Lytechinus pictus: one gene and its partners. The main gene of each other region encodes a partner of the protein of the gene in region 3 in a complex. Links are inferred from orthologs where the notes say so. Each region holds a gene or a part of one and is shown on either strand. Other genes may lie near its edges. The genes, in order: protein virilizer homolog, N6-adenosine-methyltransferase non-catalytic subunit-like and E3 ubiquitin-protein ligase Hakai-like.

What was found.
Region 1: E3 ubiquitin-protein ligase Hakai-like (region 3) and protein virilizer homolog share a complex: the UniProt entries of both Homo sapiens proteins name them as parts of the WMM complex. The link is inferred for Lytechinus pictus from reciprocal best matches to the Homo sapiens genes CBLL1 and VIRMA.
Region 2: E3 ubiquitin-protein ligase Hakai-like (region 3) and N6-adenosine-methyltransferase non-catalytic subunit-like share a complex: the UniProt entries of both Homo sapiens proteins name them as parts of the WMM complex. The link is inferred for Lytechinus pictus from reciprocal best matches to the Homo sapiens genes CBLL1 and METTL14.

What each region holds. Positions count from the first base shown.
Region 1 is NC_087246.1:52,279,897-52,287,482, forward strand, and holds the start of protein virilizer homolog, read right to left. Parts: upstream 3,073-7,586; 5' UTR 2,871-3,072; coding exon 2,826-2,870; intron 1-2,825. UniProt on the Homo sapiens protein: Associated component of the WMM complex, a complex that mediates N6-methyladenosine (m6A) methylation of RNAs, a modification that plays a role in the efficiency of mRNA splicing and RNA processing.
Region 2 is NC_087262.1:6,678,634-6,686,030, reverse strand, and holds the start of N6-adenosine-methyltransferase non-catalytic subunit-like, read left to right. Parts: upstream 1-4,339; 5' UTR 4,340-4,418; coding exon 4,419-4,484; intron 4,485-7,397. UniProt on the Homo sapiens protein: The METTL3-METTL14 heterodimer forms a N6-methyltransferase complex that methylates adenosine residues at the N(6) position of some mRNAs and regulates the circadian clock, differentiation of embryonic stem cells and cortical neurogenesis.
Region 3 is NC_087247.1:8,408,571-8,415,673, forward strand, and holds the start of E3 ubiquitin-protein ligase Hakai-like, read right to left. Parts: upstream 3,028-7,103; 5' UTR 2,981-3,027; exon of another isoform or gene 1,961-2,980; intron 1-1,960. UniProt on the Homo sapiens protein: E3 ubiquitin-protein ligase that mediates ubiquitination of several tyrosine-phosphorylated Src substrates, including CDH1, CTTN and DOK1. Targets CDH1 for endocytosis and degradation.

The DNA of each region.
Region 1 (7,586 bases), on a different chromosome or scaffold from region 3:
GATCACTTGCCGATCTTTGATCATGCCCCTTGAAGGAAAAAATCGGATATAAAAAATCGGCATACCTGTAGATCTAGTTACAGTGCGGTCAGAACATATTTCAAGATTGTTCTTGCAGAGGTGCTAGCTATTTAGAGCTTTTTAACAATCGAATAGTTCGAACAATTGAGATTCCTAGAATGTCAGAAATGACTCATAAAAGGTTGACCTACTTATGATGACCTACCGGTAGCTGCGCTGACTGGTATGGCAGGAGTGTAACTTGGAATGAATGTATTGTATAATATACAAACAATGAACATGTACTTGTACTGTGTTTGTCATTTATCCCGCCCATGAGTGCACACAATGGCCAATAGCAATGGAGTTTGAGAGCTGTATGTGACTGCATGGGTGCATGAATGTGTTGTATGCATTATGTATGCTAGTGCTTATGCTGATAAATCCCGCCCATAAGTGAATACAATGGACCAATAGCAAGGGAGTTTGAAAGCTGTGTGTGACTGCATGAATGTGTTGTACGCATTATGTATGATAGTGCTTACGCTGATAAATCCCGCCCATGAGTGAATACAATGGACAAATGACAAGGGAGTTTGAGAGCTATGTGTGACCGCGTGGGTGTAGGAATGTATTGTGTGTATTACGTATGCTAGTGCTTGCGCTAATTTTTGTCATAATCCCGCCCATGAGTGCACACAATGGCCAATAGCAATGGAGTTTGAGAGCTGTATGTGACTGCATGGGTGCATGAATGTGTTGTATGCATTATGTATGCTAGTGCTTATGCTGATAAATCCCACCCATAAGTGAATACAATGGACCAATAGCAAGGGAGTTTGAGAGCTGTGTGTGACTGCATGAATGTGTTGTACGCATTATGTATGCTAGTGCTTACGCTGATAAATCCCGCCCATGAGTGAATACAATGGACGAATGACAAGGGAGTTTGAGAGCTATGTGTGACCGCGTGGGTGCAGGAATGTATTGTGTGTATTACGTATGCTAGTGCTTGCGCTAATTTTTGTCATAATCCCGCCCATGAGTTCACACAATGGACGAATAGCAAGGGAGTTTGAGAAATGTATATGAATGCTGGGTGCATGGATGTGTTGTATATGCTAGTCAATGCCCTGCTTAAATCCCGCCCATAAGTGCACACACGGCCTAGGTACGAATAATAGCAAGGGAGTTTGAGAGCAGTGTGTATGGATGTGTTGCGTGTTGTATGTATCATGTAAGCCATACTTGCAGTGATATATTGTCATTAATCCAGCCAGTGAGCCAACTCAAAGAATAGCACTGTTAGCAGTGTCAATCAAACCCACCACGTGCACATGCCAAAAGGTAGTGTAAAGAATTTTGCGCTAGCCCGTTGAGTCTGGGCGGTTCCAGTTCTCGGCTATGCCACAAAACTATCTTGTATTGTGTGAATGCTTGCGCGCATTGCGTAATTCACTGATATTGTTGAGTGGGTGGGTATACAAAAAGATCGATACTGAGGCGTGACTTAACTTTTCCCAGAACTGATTCGGAGAAATGATGTACCAAGTAAGCTATTATAACAAAATGGGTGTACTTTGGAATGGTTATTGGGCGTGGCTGTAATCACATATTATAATGAGCGAACTTAGCTGAGCTCAGCTTCACATAAAAATACTTATAAAAGATGTCCCGCCGATCGTTCATTGACCTGTGATCTACGAGAATTATTTTCCTTTGCGACTGCTCGGAAGATGCGTCATTCGCTTATCTTTCTTATAAAAATCACTCATTTTATTGTTAAGCAGTTAAACCTCAAAACCCTTTAAAAGCATGTTCCAAACGATCGCGCATGTCGACTACTTCCATTCCTAAACATTCGTCTTTGTGACTTTGTCAGGAAGATGCGCGCGACCGCGAACAAAATGTTGATGTATTCCTTTGTTTTTAAACATCGCCGATTCGATTTTCGATTCGATTTCGATTTTAGAAGCTTAACTGCCGATCCGATTTTCGATCTGATTTTTGATCCGATTTACAACATTAATTCACAACCTAAAATACTTGCATCTGAGCCTCCAAAGTCCAGTAGAAGTTGAATATTTGCCGTTTTGACACTTTTTTACAAAGTTTTACACCTATTTCGGAATCACTCGGTCGCTTGATCAAGCTCAGCGCTGCACATAAGCAGTCGGTACGCGTACAGTACGTACCACCTAGTGAAGTGCAGTATTACGGTAGTGGTTTTTCACATTTCTTATTTCATTCAAACAAGCACACATACGCACACCCCACACACACCTTCACAGTGATTCACACAACAAACATCAACCACTCTGCACAACCACTACCGTAATACTTGGTGCAAGCTGAAAGAGGGGAAAAAATCTTTTTGAAGATACCATAGAAAAACTCGCTCTTCTTGCACGTCACTAGGTGGTACGTACTGTACGCGTACCGACTGCTTATGTGCGTGCAGCGCTGAGCTTCAAGCGACCGAGTGATTCCGAAATAGGTGTAAAACTTTGTTTAAAAAAATGTCAAAACGGCAAATATTCAACTTCTACTGGACTTTGGAGGCTCAGATGCAAGTATTTTAGGTTGTGAATTATTTAGGGTGAGATTGTACATGTTTGAAAACCATTAAACGGGGAGGTGCGAAACTACACTAGCGCCAGCACATGTTGGTTAGTGAATGATTTTTACTCTCTAAGAGCCTCCTGTCTGGCTACTCCAGCCCCATCCGCACCGCGCCTCGCCGGCCGTCGGCCGCGCCTTGCATAGCCATAGGCGGCGGAGCTAGCTTATTGCCGATTGCCAATGCCATGATTGGGTGGACTCACCTCACTCGTTTCGTGGGTTAGCGTGTCGAAGAAAAGAACCTCCATACTGCAAACGTTTCAAACTTGATCAAGGTTCAAATCTTCAAATTCTTTCTGTAGTTGTTCAAAACCAAATCAAGAACAAGGTGATTTTGCAAAGGAAGGATAATGTCAGAAATTTGCGAGTCATTCTGTATTTGTTACTCCCTGATTAGGACGACGGGACTCGGTAAGGCGGCCATGGCAAAAAATGTTATCGTTACTGTGTCTTTAACTGTGTCAACGAAAATGGGGAAAATGGCGATAGTATTAGACAGTGATGATAGTTGTTTTTATTTACCATTTGCAATTTGCATAGCATTTATTGTTAAAAGAATACCCAGCTAAGCACTCCCTTTGTTCTGTGTATATACATTGTATCTACATGTGTGTAAACCAGTGAAAAAAAGAAGAATTTCTTTTATGGACAATTAAGTTATTCCATTCAATTCAATTCAGTTCAATAGCAGAGGGAAGCGCCAACATCCCCCGGAAAATCCCAAGGAAGAACAGGGGTATTTTGTAAATACCGCTGAAATGGGCCATCCTCCATGTTTGACAGGATTTGTATGATTTGTTAAATTTGAACATATATATATATATATATATATATATATATATATATATATATATATATATATAAATGTGTGAAGTTATACATGTACTAAGCTTTGGCAACTCTTTTATATTTAAATATTGTGTGAAAGAAATGGATGAAGAGAACAATGGTAGGCGTAGCTTAAATCAAGGTTCCCCAGAGCTATCTACCCTTTTTGGAAAAATTGGTGATGCCGAAAAAATGTCTCTGCCGGGAATCGAACCCGGGCCCCCAGCTTTGAACGCCGGTGCCTTAACCACTAGACCACAGAGACGGGTTAGTGGCTAGGGCGACCCCGATCCAATTGACCGTCAGATAGACAGATTTTCGACACCATACCAATTATGAATTATCACCAAGTTGAATATATTCCATAATGACAAATTAATGAATGAACAGATAAATAAATTAATGAATAATAAATAATTAATTCAATTAAAATAATAATGATATAAATGAAAAAGACATACCTGTAATTACAGACTATTGTGATAGTTAAGTATATTCATATATATGGAATAAATACAAACAATGCAAGTAACTCATCAATGATCTTGCATCAAGTGTGTGGTTATGATGAAACAAGTACGTTTGTAAATGCTTTTAAATATTGTTACTAACTTTAAAAAACAGAAACCAATTCAAACATTATTTTAAATACACTAGAGTGAGGGGCATGATCCTCACACTTTTTTTTAGGAAACCTGGGACAATTTTTGCAAATAGATCGTTAGGCCTTGTCCCATCATGCCCATTAAATGTACGTTGAGTTATTGATAACATTGATCAAATCAATGTCCTGAATAACTCTCAAAAACGAAGAGCTAATTTAGCTAGTGACTGCTGATTTGTCTAGTTCAAATTCTTTTTGTTCCTTCTCATTTTTTCTATCCTGCATATATACGCATACATGAATAAGTCGGCAATATTTTTTTTTTTCATTTCCACGGGGGATCCACACTTTACAAGCTTTGCTATTATAGTGGACCCCCCCCCTCATTTCCATTAATTGCATTAGTGAACATAATAATAATTTAAAAAAAACATTCCAAATAGAATGAAATTTTTTCAGAATTTAGAATGTTGCATTATCTCTGAATAAAAATTTAAAGGGCATATCCTCCCCATATATGAATGAAGAGAGAAAATATCATTAATATAATTTTATCAAAATCGGATGTAAAATAAAGTTATATTATGACATCGCAAAATTATGACATCATAAAATAGTTAGCTGCATATTCTGGTCGTTATGCAAATTAATGAAAGGAATGATGAAATATGAAATAACTTAATTCACTAAACATAAACATGCTTCATTATAGTAAAATCTGCAAAAATTGAAACATTCTTTATTTCCTACCATAAAATCACTAGCGTACCTAAGGGGGAGGGGGCAATTTTTTTCTGGTAGGAAATGTTCTTTATTTGCGGTTGAAGACTTTTTTTTTTTTTTTTTTTTTTGCTTGTCAAATTTTTTTCTGGTACGAAATCCTTTATTTGTGGTTGAAGACCTTTTTTTTTTTGGGGGGGGGGGGGGCTTGTCGAATTTTTTCGCGGACGAAATATCCTCCAAAAAATTTGCCCCCTTTTGGAAAATCCTAGGTACGCCGCTGCATAAAATACAAAATAAATAGTGAGTGACATCATCCATACTCTCATTTGATATTACGTTGGACATGTTTTTCTATTAAAAAAATAAAAGTTACAACTTTCTTTTTTATCTCCGATTTTGGTGAAATTTTCCGCATTATACTTGAGTTTTTTCTATTTATTCAGATTCACTTTTTTTTTGGGGTGGACTTGCCCTTTAAAGTTTATTCAAAAATTTTCGTGTCTGCAGTCTTTTTATTTTGATATTTGCATCATCGTGTTATTTACACGTTTTTAGGGGGAGTTACAGTGTGATCTGTGATAGCATCATTCGTCCACTCTATTTTGGATAATAATAATCCTATTCTTTCCCACTAACATCTTACCTCTAAACATCTCACCGTTTAATCCTCATTTATACTTGTTTTGATATATAAAGAAATATTTTTCCTTATTTGTGAAGTGTTTTTTTTTTCACTATTGATTAGTCACCCTCATTTTCCTTTGTGAATATAATATGCACATAATTTTAAACGAGTGCAGCAATTTTTAAGACCCACTCACTACCTTTAAAGGTGCAGACCAGGGCCCCATCTTACAAAGAGTTACGATTGATCCATGCAATCAATAGTAATTCTATGGAAATCCATCAGTGTCATAATATTTTCTACAGGAAATTTGCAAAATGTCCTTTGTAAACAAAGGAAAACACACCAAATTGTCAAGAAATCAATGACTTTATGGATATACATTCATATATAGAACAATTTTTGAACAAACATGCATTTCATGTGTTGACTTGGCTGGCCTCCCATAGTTGCAATTGATCGGATCAATCGCAATTCTTTGTAAGACGGGGGCCAGATGGCACAATGGGAGCACCTTTAAGGTTTAACTTTGTACCTTTCAGAGAGGTGCAAAGTTGCACCTTTCCAAAAAGGTACAAAGTTGCACCTTAAAGCTGCACCCAGTGTGACTTCTGGTCTGCACCTTTAAAGGTGCAAACTCGGGGGGGGGGCAAAGTTGAATCTATTTTTTTAGTGTACAGACCCAAAATTGCTCAAAAACGTGGATTCGTGTACAAATCTAATGCAAATAGTTTTTTTAGCCCAAATTCATAAATGTATCATTATTTTTCCTTTTACTGATTAAAATCGATCAATTTCATCTTGTTTATGGTCAAAATAAATTCCCCGACAATCTCAATTGGAAAAAAACTTAACAATTAAAAACAAAAATTCGAAAAACAAAGAATTAGGCCTACATAAGAAATTTAAAAAATAATAAAATACATGAGAAAATAAATGAGATGTTTAAATTTTTAAAAACGCATTTGATCAGATTCCTATATGTGAACCCAAAATTAGCATTTTAGGGGCAATATTTAGTTCATCAGAGCACCCTTTTGATTTTATGCATAAATTAGCAAAATAACCATAATTTTTTAGATTTTTCGCAGAATTTGATCTTATAGTTTTGCATATTATGCCAGGGGTAGCGCGTGCCAATTTTCGTCTCAGCCTCCCCCCCCCCCCCCCCCGTCGTCTTAGGCGACGAAATGGCCCAGTCTATTTATATTAGGGTTAACGTGCTGATTTTCCATCGGAGCGATTGCATGTCGCCGGAGAAAATGTCATGGAACGATAATAAAGAGTAGGAAAATTATAATTTGATTTGATACGAATCTGTTCGCATTTTTTACGATCCATGCATATTTCATAAGCCCAAAATTATGGAAGAAATCGATACCTGTAAATAAAGACAATACACTCTAATACATGTAGAAATAGTATTATTTATTTTCCGATTCGAAAAATCAAAAACAAACACAACGATACAGATTGGCTTACATATTTACAGTTTGCATAACTGTAGGAAATATAAACGAGCTGGATTACACTCTTAAAATAATTGGGCAAAAAATGCCCAACTTTTAACCAACCCTGGGCAACATACTGTCCACACAACTATCGGTTAAAATCTGTGCAAATTGGGTAATAAAAACTAATAATTGGGTAATAAATTTGCTCAACTGGATAATAACTGCCTATAAATATATATATATATTTATATACGAATATGCTTCCAACATACATTACCCAACACAGAGGACAGTATGTTGCCCAACATCTATCTGCTGTGTCAAAATGCTGTTCTGCAATGGGGGTACAGTCAAGAAAAGAACAGAGGTAAAAATAGAAGGAAATGAAGTGAAATAATAATGATAACAATAATAATAATAATAATAATAATAAACAATAATAATAACAATTATAATAATAATAATAAATAATAATAATAATAATAATATGGTCCATTAATATAGCTCAGTTCCTATATGCATATATTCTACTGCGCTTGATACTTGGTAATTACCATGGCTATTAGCTGAGCCGCCATTATAGGCGCTAAAGCGTTCAAGAAATAAATCCTACCGGGTACTAATTCACCTCACATGGGTAGGGCCCTGGGAACGATTTTATTGAGTGGGGGTGCTGAAGTAAATTTAAAAGGAAAAAAAAAAGTTTTCACAACCAAAATGGAGATCAAAT
Region 2 (7,397 bases), on a different chromosome or scaffold from region 3:
TCTCGCAAAAAGTGTTCTTTAGCTTTCGAGTGCCGCTGCAACTCTTTATCCTTGTTGACCATAGTAGATTGCGAGACAAATGAATACCATCTAGCGATTATTTCATTCCGCAATAATGAACCTATTTAGTATTATTTTATATTTAGACCTAAAAAGGGACATTATAAGCAAATTTTTGTAAACATAATACGTACGTGTCTTACTAAACAAACAATGCAAGCGCGAAGCGCGAACTGAAATATTTGTATAATATTGTCCCCAAACAGGGACATTTTAAGGACTTTTTTTTTGGGGGGGGGGACTCCATTAAGAGTATATATCTCACCATATTCATCTGATGCGAGTTCAAAGCGTTTGCTGATTTTGTTAGAATTACATCTAAACACAATCATGAAGCACCTATTCATACGCGTCTCACCAAACAAATATTGCGAGCGCGAGCTGAATTCAGATCTGAAGAGGGGCATCCTAAGGCTTGTTTGTATAGGAATTCACTAACCAAATGATGCGAGCGCGAAGCACGAGCTGAAAATTGTTGATATTCCGATCAGAAAAGGGGACATTTTAAGGACGGATTTTAGGAATTCATGAAGGTTAGACATATCTCACCAATCCACATAATGCGAAGGTAAGCACTGTCTGGAAATGTTTTATAATCAGACCTTAAAAGGAGGCAAGCAAGTCTTGAAAAAGAAGCATATGTCACTACATAAAACGATAATATCTCGGCGAGGAAATATATTTAGTGTATACTGACTTGAAAACGGGATGTTTTAGCACAACAGGGTAATATATATATCTCCATACCACATCATGGTATGAACAAGATTTTTTTATGATTGTGGCCCCGAGCATTGCCATAGAGCTAAGCTCATTGCGTGACAAGTACAAAAAAAGGGAGGCACAGTATGGCGCACGCAGCAAAAAATTGCTTAATATAAGTCCCGAGCTTGTACCTTGTACCTTGCAGTTCTATTCCCTGAAGTCCTCCACCAGGAAGGGTAACTCAGGGCTGACGAGAGTGGGAGTACTGTTACTCTGTTTTGTTTTGTTGCATGATTTGCATGTTTAGTTTTACTTTAAGTATATCAGTGCTGTTGGAGGATACCGTATCGGATGTGAGACTATTCCAGTGGGAGATTGCTTCAGGGAAGAAGTAATTAGCCAGTTGGGTAGTTGTGATGAACTTTGAAGTGACGTCTGTTCAGACGTCATACAGTTCATCATGGGATCTTCTTAATCTTGTTATTTTTCTTGTGGCATATTTATTTAAGTCAAGTTGAGTTTCTCCATGGATGATCTTATATAAGTTGATGATTCGGTGATTTCGCCTCCTTTCTTCGAGAGACATCCAGCCAAGTGTTGTCATTATGTTTGTAACGCTGGATCCCCGTGTGTAGTTCCCTGTGACGAATCGGGCGGCTCGTCTCTGAACCATTTCCAGCAATTTGGTGTTCTTGATTGTGCCTGGGTGCCATGCTATCGAAGCATATTCCAGGTGGGGTCTAACAAGTGTGTGGTATAGACGTTCTTTCACTGTTTTAGAGCAGTGATAGAAGTTCCTTCTGATGAAGTTTAAAGCCCTCGTACCTTTGGCGGATGCCTGTTGTGACTGCTTATCCCATTTTAGGTTGTTTTCTATAATTATGTATTCCTAGGTATTGATGGCTATTTACTTCCTGAAGTTGTTGACCAAGGAGTGAGTAATTGGTATGTCCTGGTACTCGCTTTCTGGAGATCCTCATCGGAGGGGTTGGATATTGCTCGGTAGAGTATGCAGTCATCTGCGAACAGTCTTGCCGTGCTGTGAACTGCTTCTGAGAGATGGTTTATGTACAAAATGAAGAGGTGGGGCCCGAGGACTGTTCCCTGTGGAATACCGCTTAGGACTGGTAACCAGTTTGATGTTTTACCATTCACTACTGTTCTTTGATATCTCTGGGTCAGGAAGGATCTTATCCACTCAAGGGTCTTGCTACGGATGCCATACAAGTGAAGTTTCTGCAACAATTTCTTGTGGGGGACGACATCGAATGCTTTGCTGAAGTCGAGTATTGCGATGTCACATGTCTCCTTGTTGTTGTGATGAGTAGCAAGATCATGGATTGTGGCAACTAATAATGTGTCACATGATCTACCCCGTCTGAAAGCATGCTGGTAGTCAGAAAGGATTGAGTTTGTAGTAAGGTGTGTCATTAGATGGCTGTCAACTATATGTTCCATAAGTTTGCAGCATACACTGGTCAACGATATAGGGCGATAATTAGCTGGTTCATTTTTAGGACCCTTCTTGTAAATAGCAGCGATGTTCGCTTTACGCCAATCCTCAGGAAGGATCCCTTGGTCATATGACTGTTTAAATATGAATTGCAGGACTGGGGCTATTTCTTCAGCTGTAAGTTTAAGAACACGGTTTGGTATGCTATCTGGTCCTGCGGCCTTTGAGACCCCGGGGGGGGGGGGCACTCAATATATAATGCATAGTGGGTATGTGCCGCGGAGGGGACCCCCATTTTTACACTCAAATTTCCGTTCCAAGGCATAGCATTTTTGTCTTATTGAGAAAAAGAACAAAGAAAGCCGCTCCAAAGCATAGCATTTTCTTCTTATCGAGAAAAAAGAATAGAGAAATCCGCTCCAAAGCTTCGCATATTTTTCGTTACGCCGTTCCGGTCGCATTGATCTGCTACAAGGAGCTGCAATTTTGGTGAAAAGCGGCCGCAGAGCGCTGTCCGACCATCGCCGCTTCTGCGCGAGCGCACCCGGCGGAGGCCGCGCTAGCTGTATCATGCACGCATGCCCGTTCCATAGGGATGCATGCGCACTCATCACACGCTGGCGATCCGTTCCAAGGACCCCCGTTTTCACAAACATTTGTAGTTCCGAAGCCCGTTCCGAGGACCCTCCTTTTTACAATTAGCCCGCTCCAAGGCCCCCGTTTTTTGTCTCGCCCGCGGCACACCCCTACCACTTTTTTGGTCGAGTGCCCCCCCCCCCCCGGGTTTGAGACATCTAACTTGTTCAATAGCTTGATGATGCCACTAACCGTGATGTTGATATCTGGCATATCAGGGATGTTATATTCTTGTTGGAAGGTTGGGGATTTGGGTTTCGTCTCTTGAGAAGACGCTCTGGAACTGTTCGGCCAGTGCGTCTGCTTTCCCTTGGTCATCAGTGATGATTTCGTTTCCCTTCTTAAGGCTCTGGATCCCTACGTTGTCTTTGCGCCTGGTTTTGATATATTTCCAGAACTGTTTATTACCGAGCGAAGCGAGCGAGAAAAAAAGTCACCTTTTCATAAGAATCTAATTTTGAGATTGATTTTGACATGGTATTAAAAAAATATATATTTTACATCTTCCTTTCCTTTTTTTTCATCTTTTCTTTTTTTTTTGGTTCTCGGTTGTAGAGCTTTTGGGGGCCAGTGATATGCGGATCGGGTCCGGGGCAATGGCGGCACCAGGATTGTTAACCGGGGGAGGGGGGCAAAATAGCATTTTTTGGGGGGGCAACACACAAATGGTTTGCCTATTTCTCAAAATCGAGCGAGAAGCACGAGCTGATTTTTTTTTATGTAGACCCTACTGACTTGAAAAGGGACCTGTTAAGGACTAGCTGTTTGCATTGGGTCAATCATGAAGATGATATCTCACCAAATAAATAATGCGAGCGCGCGAAGCTCGAGCTGAAAATTTTTGACATCCTGAGATGATAACTGGACGTTCTAAGCACTTTTTGCAATCATGGGCTGGATGGCTATTTAATCCAACAATAAAATTGATGCGAGCGCGTAGCGCGAGCTGAACATTTTTCATTTATGAAAATTATGAAGATTTTTCCAAATCTAAAGAACGAAAAAGCTGTTTTGGAGCACTTAGCAGCTTTAGTAGGATGCTTATGACAACATTTACTATACATTTTTTTTTCAAAATTCGGGGGGGGGGGTGCAACTCACTGGGGGCAAATGCCCCCTGTGCCTTCCCCTTTTCCTTTTTCCTCTTTTCTTCATTTCTTTCTTTCTTTCTTTCCCCTTCTCTCTTTCTCTTTTTTTTTTCTTTTTCCCATTTTGTTATTTTCCCGGTGAAATCCGCCAGAGGGGGCAGCTTGCCCCCCCCCCCCCCCGCCTGTTACGCCACTGGTGAGTGAACGAAGAAGACAAGCGGGAAAGGAAATAAAAGGCGGTCAGAAATAAATAAGAAAATATAAGGAAAATTAGAGTGGAAATTGGAAAGTAGAAATATAAGAGGAAATTAAGAAACCATGCACGGCAAGAACCAAACTGCAAACAATCCTAAGACTTGTCTTTTTTTTTCTTTTTTGTTGTTGCTATATTGGTGTCTCAGCGACACCATCCTAAGGAACATCCAGCGTCAAACTAAGTTTTTTTCCTCGATACAAAACTCCTTTTAAAAGTGAGAATGTCTGAAAGGCTGAAGTCAATAAGAGCGCGGTCCTCCCAGCGGAGAAAAATCCTTGCCCAGCAGGTGAGTCTAAATTTGTTTATATAGTCGGTGTTACCACGTCAATTTACACACAACATTCTAACTTAATACAAGTTACAGAAAAAGGAAACACGGATCTTTACGCGTGGGGCAATGCAAATTCAAGCCGTTGTCTACGTCGCTCGTCGCCGAAATGCAGCCAATGTCCACCCAGGCCAAGGGTTCATTACATGCCGCCGCGCACAGAAAAATCAAGCCATAGAAGTCGTGTGTTGTGGACCCAAGAAGTGAGATCCCAGCACGCGCGACCCACTAGTTAGAAATCCACTGCCAAACGAGGTTCGTGGTGCGAGGTAGTAATAGTAATACTAACCTCGCAATACCGGTACGTGTGAGTGGCCAATGGCAATGTCGAGCCCTACTTAAGGTCTCGTGAAACTTTTAATAGCAGAGACTAGAGGCGCATGGCCAATAATGGGAGACTGTCACCATCATCATGATCTTGTTCTCTTTGTTATTAGCTTAGCTACGAGACGCATATAGAGGGCGGCAACATCATGGGTAAGGATCTTAAAAAGTTAAAGACTTTAGAATATAATTAATAAACCACAAATTATTAGCAAAAAATAATTTGTCCAAATATTTAAATTGGCATAGTTTTTATCATTTGTAAACAAGGTGCGTAGCTTTAGGTCACCCCATCATACATTATCAATTTTATTTTTGAACAAATATTCATTCAAAAACCAAAAAATGTATAATGAGAAGATGGGAGAAAACTTACCGATGTTTACGGCATGATGTTGCCGCCCTCTATATGCGTCTCGTAGCTTAGACAGCTGGCAGCCGTCTGTTTCGAGGAGTTTTTTAACATTTTTTTATTTTTTAAATTTCTCCTCGTACACAGACGGCTCGCTATCGTGCAGCCACCATTAGGGGACTTACAATGCAAAATCCCCATGTCGGGGCTCTTCAATTTTTGTCTTTAATGAATCAAACTTTTGAAAATTAATCCAACCGAAATGCAAATTAATATTCCCTCTTGGCATTAATTGCCCCAAAAACGGGGAAAATCAAGTTAAAAGGAACAAAAACAGTGACTTACCTCGGCTGTTGCGCAACTTCACTGCCCTGTTTTATCCGAACTTAATGCACATAAACATATGGCCATTGAGTCCCCTGTACAGATCGCGCTAGAACTTCGGTCTCTGTATTTGGTGAGTGAAGCCAACGGAGTTCAGCTGAACAACCAACATAACAGAGACCGAAGCTTTTGGTCTACTCGTAGCTAAGCTAATAACAAAGAGAACAAGATCATGATGATGGTGACAGTCTCCCATATTGGCCATGCGCCTCTACTATCAAAGTACACACCCGAAGAATCAAAACTATTTTATAATTAATTTTTGTGGTCATCATTGTAAAGGGGAAGGATTACTTATCATATATCTAACTTCACTTTTTGAAATAGTGATTAGAGTTTGCAGAAATCGGCTCTCAAAAATGATTTATTTTCATGCCATATTTCTGCCTTCCACCGGTCCTCTTGCGAGCTCCAGCTGAGTGACGTCACACAATGAGCGGTGAGCAGCTGAGCTGACAGCAGCCCATTGAAAACGACCTTTCCAATCAGCGTTTTTTGCTCTTAGAATTGTTTATTCCTCATAAGATTGGTCTTGTTATATAGATAAAAGTTTGAATTTACTGAACAATGAAATAAAATGCACATTTAACGTATTTTGGTAACCGATATTTAGCTTAGAAAAAATGATTTTTTTTTTCAAGAAATATATGTGAATAAACAAAGCACATTTTCACTTAGAAATCACACTTGCGTCACATTAATATTATAATCAATATAAAGCATAGACATTCTTCTTCACGCCTGAACAAAAATTATGAAATTTCATTACGTAGCAAAGTCAGGAACCACAAAAAACACGGTAATATCCATCACGAAATGATTGGAATTGCAGTTGAATTGCCGAAGCATTATGAGGCAACAGTGGCGAACGGACTTTGTTTCATATATCCTTAAAAGCCCCAGTGCGAGTAAGAAGCGGTCTGTGGCCAAACCGGTAAAACGTTATTTTGATGAGTACGAGGACCCTGGTTCGAAACTCGTGATATTTTTTTGTTCGGGGATTTTTTGTAAAATCATTTTATTCCTTCCCCATTCCTACCCAGCTCTTTTTTTCTCTTTTTATTTTCATGTGAGATTCTATTCAGACCTGCATTTATTAAATCGTACTTAATTGCTGCTTTTGATTTTCAAGTTCTTGATTAGATTCTGCACTTATTTGGGCAGGGATGGGAGGGGTAGAGGATGAGTTAAATGTCAAGTCCACATCAAGTAAAAATTATTTGAATAGAGTAATTTCCCTTGTTTTTTTACTCAAAACAGTTATAAACACAAAACAATGACATGCACATTAGAGTTGATTATGTCACATCTTATTCATTTCAAATTTTGTTAAGCATTTTATTTTTTATTATTTAATTTGAATCAGTTTTTATGAAATTTTCTGAATATTTTTTTTTTGTAATCAAATGAATTTTTGGTTGGGTGGACTTCTCCTTTACTCTTCACATGGAATACATAGCAATATTTATCCAGAAACAAAATTGTCTTAAAATGTGCAAACCAGTAATTGGACACATGTTCACTTTCCTTTCATCCAGGCCACTTCCTCGATCACATCCACCAGGCTTACAGTCTTATAACAAACATGATGCACCATCACACAACTGCAAACAACATTCACAGTGCTTCACAATAAATATTTCACTTTTGTTCATACATGCAATGAATATTGTGGAAAACAATAACAGGCATACCCATATTCCAATATCATTTAAAAGGACAAATATATTATACCTTTCGAGAAAAAAATTCTGACGATATATACACGACACTTAACTTTCAGCAATCAGCATGGTATATAACTGATACAG
Region 3 (7,103 bases):
TTTTATTTTCAACCTCGTGGTGATAGCGGACCCCGCCGTGAACTTTTAAAGATCGTGCTACTGACGGAGCTTATTGCGTTACTCCCTTACATCGTTTATGATGATATACATTTTATTTTCAACCTCGTGGTGATAGCGGATGCCGCCGTGAACTTTGAAAGGTCGTACTATTGACGGAGCTCATTGCGTTACTCTCTTACATCGTTTATGATGATTTACATTTTATTTTCAACCTCGTGGTGATAGCGGACCCCGCCGTGATCTTTTAAAGATCGTGCTACTGACGGAGCTTATTGCGTTACTCTCTTACATCGTTTATGATGATATTCATTTTATTTTCAACCTCGTGGTGATAGCGGACCCCGCCAGAAACTTTTAAAGACTGTACTATTGACGGAACTTATTGCGTTACTCTCTTACATCATTTATGATGATATTCATTTTATTTTCAACCTCGTGGTGATAGCGGAAGCCGCAGTGAACTTTGAAAGGTCGTATTACCGACGGAGCTCACTGCGCTACTCTCTTACATCGTTTATAATGATATAAATCTTCTCTTCAACCTCGTGGTGATAGCGGACCCCGCCAGAAACTTTTAAAGACTGTACTATTGACGGAGCTTATTGCGTTACTCTCTTACATCATTTATGATGATATTCATTTTATTTTCAACCTCGTGGTGATAGCGGATGCCGCCGTGAACTTTGAAAGGTCGTACTATTGACGGAGCTCATTGCGTTACTCTCTTACATCGTTTATGATGATTTACATTTTATTTTCAACCTCGTGGTGATAGCGGACCCCGCCGTGAACTTTTAAAGATCGTGCTACTGACGGAGCTTATTGCGTTACTCCCTTACATCGTTTATGATGATATACATTTTATTTTCAACCTCGTGGTGATAGCGGATGCCGCCGTGAACTTTGAAAGGTCGTACTATTGACGGAGCTCATTGCGTTACTCTCTTACATCGTTTATGATGATTTACATTTTATTTTCAACCTCGTGGTGATAGCGGACCCCGCCGTGATCTTTTAAAGATCGTGCTACTGACGGAGCTTATTGCGTTACTCTCTTACATCGTTTATGATGATATACATTTTATTTTCAATCTCGTGGTGATAGCGGATGCCGCCGTGAACTTTGAAAGGTCGTATTACCGACGGAGCTCTCTGCGTTACTCTCTTACATCGTTTATGATGATATACATTTTATTTTCAACCTCGTGGTGATAGCGGATGCCGCCGTGAACTTTGAAAGGTCGTACTATTGACGGAGCTCATTGCGTTACTCTCTTACATCGTTTATGATGATTTACATTTTATTTTCAACCTCGTGGTGATAGCGGACCCCGCCGTGATCTTTTAAAGATCGTGCTACTGACGGAGCTTATTGCGTTACTCTCTTACATCGTTTATGATGATATACATTTTATTTTCAACCTCGTGGTGATAGCGGACCCCGCCGTGAACTTTTAAAGATCGTGCTACTGACGGAGCTTATTGCGTTACTCCCTTACATCGTTTATGATGATATACATTTTATTTTCAACCTCGTGGTGATAGCGGATGCCGCCGTGAACTTTGAAAGGTCGTACTATTGACGGAGCTCATTGCGTTACTCTCTTACATCGTTTATGATGATTTACATTTTATTTTCAACCTCGTGGTGATAGCGGACCCCGCCGTGATCTTTTAAAGATCGTGCTACTGACGGAGCTTATTGCGTTACTCTCTTACATCGTTTATGATGATATACATTTTATTTTCAATCTCGTGGTGATAGCGGATGCCGCCGTGAACTTTGAAAGGTCGTATTACCGACGGAGCTCTCTGCGTTACTCTCTTACATCGTTTATGATGATATACATTTTATTTTCAACCTCGTGGTGATAGCGGATGCCGCCGTGAACTTTGAAAGGTCGTATTACCGACGGAGCTCACTGCACTACTCTCTTACCTCCTTTATGATGATAGACATCTTCTCTTCAACCTCGTGGTGATAGCGGACCCCGCCGTGAACTTCAAATTGATTTGAAAACGCTAGCTACCCAAAGCATTTTAATAACATATTTCAAATCATCGTGCGTGCTTGCGTCGTCTACTTCATTTTAATTGCACTTGCGACTTTAAGATGATGCGTCGTAAGAGATCATTCCAATAATTCTAAATCGCTAGCACCTAAAAATACTTCTAAAAGATGTCCCGCCGATCGTTCATTAACCTGTGATCTATGAGAAATATTTTCATTTTATTTTCCTTTGCGCCTTTGCTCGGAAGGTGCGTCTTTCGTTTATCTTTCTAATAAAAATCACTCGGTTTATTTTAAAGCAATAACACCTCAAAACCCCTGGCTTTAAAACATGTTCCAAACGATCGCGCATGTTGGCGACTTCCATTCCAAAGCATTCGTCTTTGTGACTTTGTCAGGAAGATGCGCGCGACCGCGAACAACATTTTGATGTATTCCTTTGTTTTTAAACATCACCGATTCGATTTTCGATTCGATTTCGATTTTAGAAGCTTAACTGCCGATCCGATTTTCGATCTGATTTTTGATCCGATTTACAACATTACAAGAGACAATTACAAATGTACCAGATACATCATGAAGTACTGGATCATCCGGCAGGCAAGCATTGATAAGTATTTATTATACATTTTCAGATAAACATGTTTAATTGTAAACAGTAAAGGCAAAAACTGAAAAAGCCTAAATAAATTACTACCCGAATTCAAATTTAGCCAACACGAAATTCAACATGTGGGCACATGATCTTCTTTTTTTTTAAGTTCTTATTTTATGACGGGTCCGATACCGTTTTCTTCACTGTTAATTTGTACCAAACTATTGTAAAATTAATTTAAATCATGGCCATGATCACATCCATATAACCTCTACAGTTTATGAACTTCAAAATTTGTTATCAATGAAAATGAATTTCTCAAAAATTAACTCAAACGATCGATATGATCTCACCTAATCGTGACTCCCACGCTTGTTGTCCACGGTTATCGGATCGCGGAGCTGTGAACCGGCACACCTACGTACCGGATACCGGTTTCTTATTGAATAGATAGTCTTTGTTGAACAGCCCTGACTTTTTTCTTGGTGTAGACCCTATAATAATCAAGGGCTACACCCCGGCAAGAAGTTGATTTGAATAAAAAGTCTAACCATAACACTGAAAATGTTCATCAAAATCGAATACAAAATAAGAAATAAGAAAGTTATGACATTTTAAAGATTCGCTTAATTTCACAAAACATTAATATGCACATCCTGGTTGGTATTGCAATGTGGGGCCTGATTATGACATCACCCATTTACTATTTATTTTGTAGTTTATTATATAAAGTATGAAATAATCGAATCTCTCATTTTTATATCACTGAATTGTGTATACAACTGCTTTACAAGCGTATCTTCAAATGATCACAACTTTTTTTTTATTTCACATCCGATTTTGATGATATTTTCAAAGTTATGCTTGCTTGATTGATTCAAATCAACTTTTTCTCTGAGGTGGAGCTTGACCTACACTGTTAGAAAAAACATAAGATTTCACAGAAGAAAAAAAAATTAACAGATTTTACAAAAAAAAAAAAATCAAATCATCCTGTGAATTGTTATAACAGGAAAGATTTTTTGCAATATTCTATAAGTTTACAGAACAAGTCTGTTATAAAAAAGGGAAAACAGTTTTATTACAATTTTCTGTAATTTTACACAAAAGATTACACAGTGCAATAAGGTTATAGGAGTTCCGAAACTCTGCTGCAGGAATATTTGGGGGTTTTCTAAGTGGGAAATTTTCTAACAGTTTATATTTATCATAAGAACGATTGTTTAGGGGTTTTTCCCCTTTTTGTTGTTGCTGTTGTTATTAGTGTTGAATGTAATTTTTCTTGCTAGGCCTACTGATTTTTTTTATTTGTTATTTTTACCTCTGTCATTTTTTTTTACCTCTGCCATTAATTGCGTCTGCATCTGCCGCGCTATTTTTAATTTTTGCCACTGCATTTTTTTTCTCTGCCATATGCCCATATGTTTAGACCGAAACCTAATCAAGGGCGGATGCCGGGAGTGGGCCGATCAAAAATAGAAATAAGTAGAAAAGAAAAATAATGAAAATGGAAATAGGTGATCAGTGAAGGGGAGAAAAATGAAAAGGGGAGAAAAGGCGACCGCACACCTTACGATTGGTCTGCGACTCAAGTTTTGGAATACAACGTAGTAGAATTTGAGACTTGGAATTTCTTACTGCATGTGTAATGCTCAAATTCATCGTACGAATACCTATGTTCAAATCTGTGACTATGCTATCATCCTTCTTAGAATAAAAGCAATTTCAATATCTAGTCGTAATCACTAGCGTACCTACGGGGGGGGGGCAGGGGGGCACTCTGCCCCCCTGACGAGTGACAACCCATGCAAAAACGTATCTTTACCCCCCCTGACGGGCTTGAAAAACCTTTTTTGCCCCCCCCCCCCCCTGACGAGCTTTAAGACCTTCAATGCCCCCCTGACGAGCTTGAAGACCTTTTTTTTTTTTTTTTTTTTTTTTTTTTTTTTTTTTTTTTTGCTTGTCAAATTTTTGGGCGGACGGTTTTGCCCCCCTGTGGAAAATCCTAGGTACGCCACTGGTCGTAATGACGTCATATCAGTCGTACGATTGGCTACGATTCGAAACTAATTTGGCCTTTACTCCAAAATAAAGGCTTGCAATCTTTCAAAATGGTTATATTAGTATTCTTTCAATTAATTTTAACCTTGAATAAAATGATATGTTCCATTTACATTTTCAGAAAATGAGCAAAATGCGATTTGTTCAAAATCGGATCGCGAACAGTCGTAAGGTGTGCGGTGGCCTTAAAGGGGAATGAAACCTTTGGAACAGATAGGTTTGTGTCTAAACAGAAAAATAAAAAAATAAAAACAAAGAAAATTTGAGAAAAATCGGACAAATAATGAGAAAGTTATGAGCATTTGAATATTGCAATCAATAATGCCATAGAGATCCTCCTATTGGCAATGCGACAAGGATGTGTGATGTCACATGTGAACAACTTTCCCTTTGATGGACTATAAAATACCCCAAAAATGTATCTTTTTGCCTTTTCTGATGATGATACAAACTCTTTATCCATGATGTATTCTTTAAAAATCTGTATTACATGCCCTCCTATAGAAAGAACACATGATCTACTGATGGATGTGATAAAAGAGGCAGTTTAAAAGAAATATATACTAAAATAATGGGGAGAGTTGTTCACAAGTGACATCACACATCTTTGTCGCATTGCCAATTTGAGGATCTCCATAGCATTAGTGATCATAATATTCAAATGCTCATAACTTTCTCATTATTTGTCCGATTTTTCTCAAACTTTCGTTGATCTGTTTCTTTGATTTTTCTGTTTTCACACAAGCTATCTTGTTCCAAATGTTTCATTCTCCTTTAAGAGACTGTGCCGACTGTGTATATAGGCCTGCCAAAAAAGCTGGCGAAAACTGAAACTGTCCTGTTCACCACTCGCTTCGCCCTCTCTCAAAGATCAGTAAATATATAAGGGATCTGCACATGCAGGTGATGTATTTGAATATTTGCCTATAAATCAGTCGACGGTAAAACAAAACATTATTATCTGCAATTGCATTCCACGAACTGTAAAAGTAAATTCAATGTGTACCAACCATAGAGATATATACTAATAACGCTAGTGGTACCAACTGGTACTGAAAGAATATACCCCCCCCCCCCCTCCCCTGCCAGCAATAAAAAAAGTGTTCTTTCCTATGCTTCAAGTGCAATTAAATAAATTCCCCGGTCTAAGAAATTGAAAAGATAACAATATCATTGTTATCATTTCATTTTCTATATAAGATAACGAAATTAGGCTTATATATATAGCGACAATTATCCTAAGTTTACCCCCCCCCCCATGTTACTAATGGGTCTGGTATAGTTGGGAAGAGGGTTTAGGTGGTTAGCTAACCTTTCCCCGTCCCCGGAGAGAAAAAAAGTTAGTTAAAAGCTAGAGGGGAAGATAGTGTGGTACTTTGGTGACATAATTCTGCTCATGTCTTTTTGCCTATTTGTTACTCTTTTTTGTATCTTTATTGATATAAATTAACATAATTTGTTACTCGGGTAAATACATTATAAATACCTGCATTCTAGGGTTTCGGGCATTCAGAGGATGTCTATATCTGTTGCTAGCGATTCATCCAGTAAATCATATATATGCGGACATTTGAACTACTGTACTTATATCATCTATATGATGGACGATTGGTTCCAATCAGTGGACATTCAACCTGGAAAACTTATGTTAGCAGGGGCTCGGAACCGGGCGCTTGGAACGAAGGGGGTTTAAGTCCCCCATTTTTTCAGCAAATGTGTACAAAAACGTTAAAAAATGCCTTTCTCATTCTGTTTTTTTTTTTTGCATGGCCACCCCCGGCCCCCTAACCCACCCCATTTTCAAAACCCTTGCTTAGTGTAATACTAATTAGTTATGCTACCCATAAATTCTTTTATAGGATTTTTGAATTTCTTCTTTTCAGGGGCCTGGCTGGTATTAAAAAAAATCAGCTCGCGTTATTTTTCTATCTGGAGTAATGATCGAAGACCTAAATAAACTCCTTTTTTGAGAAACAACCTATTAAAATATAAATTATACATAAATGTGAACCTCGATCCTACCCGTGCTTGATCAATCCCTCTGGTCCATATTTTTTTCAGAACCTGACCCCCCCCCCCCCCCATAAATTCTAGATAGAATTCATGTGGGGGATCGAGCCGGGGAACGATTTTTGTGGACGGGGTACAGTTTCTTTCTGTTCTACTTCTGCTATTCCTGTTATTACCCCGGACTATATATTCCTCTCACTTACCCTCCTACATGGCTTGTTCTTCATGCTCGACCCCCCCCCCTGATCTCTCCTCTAGAGGAGAGATCAGTGCCCCCCCCCCCTTCGGTTTGGGAGTATGGAACTCCGATTACTATGCAGTTCAGTGAAAATTTGAATATGTATTTATATTTTTATAATTCAAATGAAATGAATAGACAATGATTTTTTCATATGTATAAATATA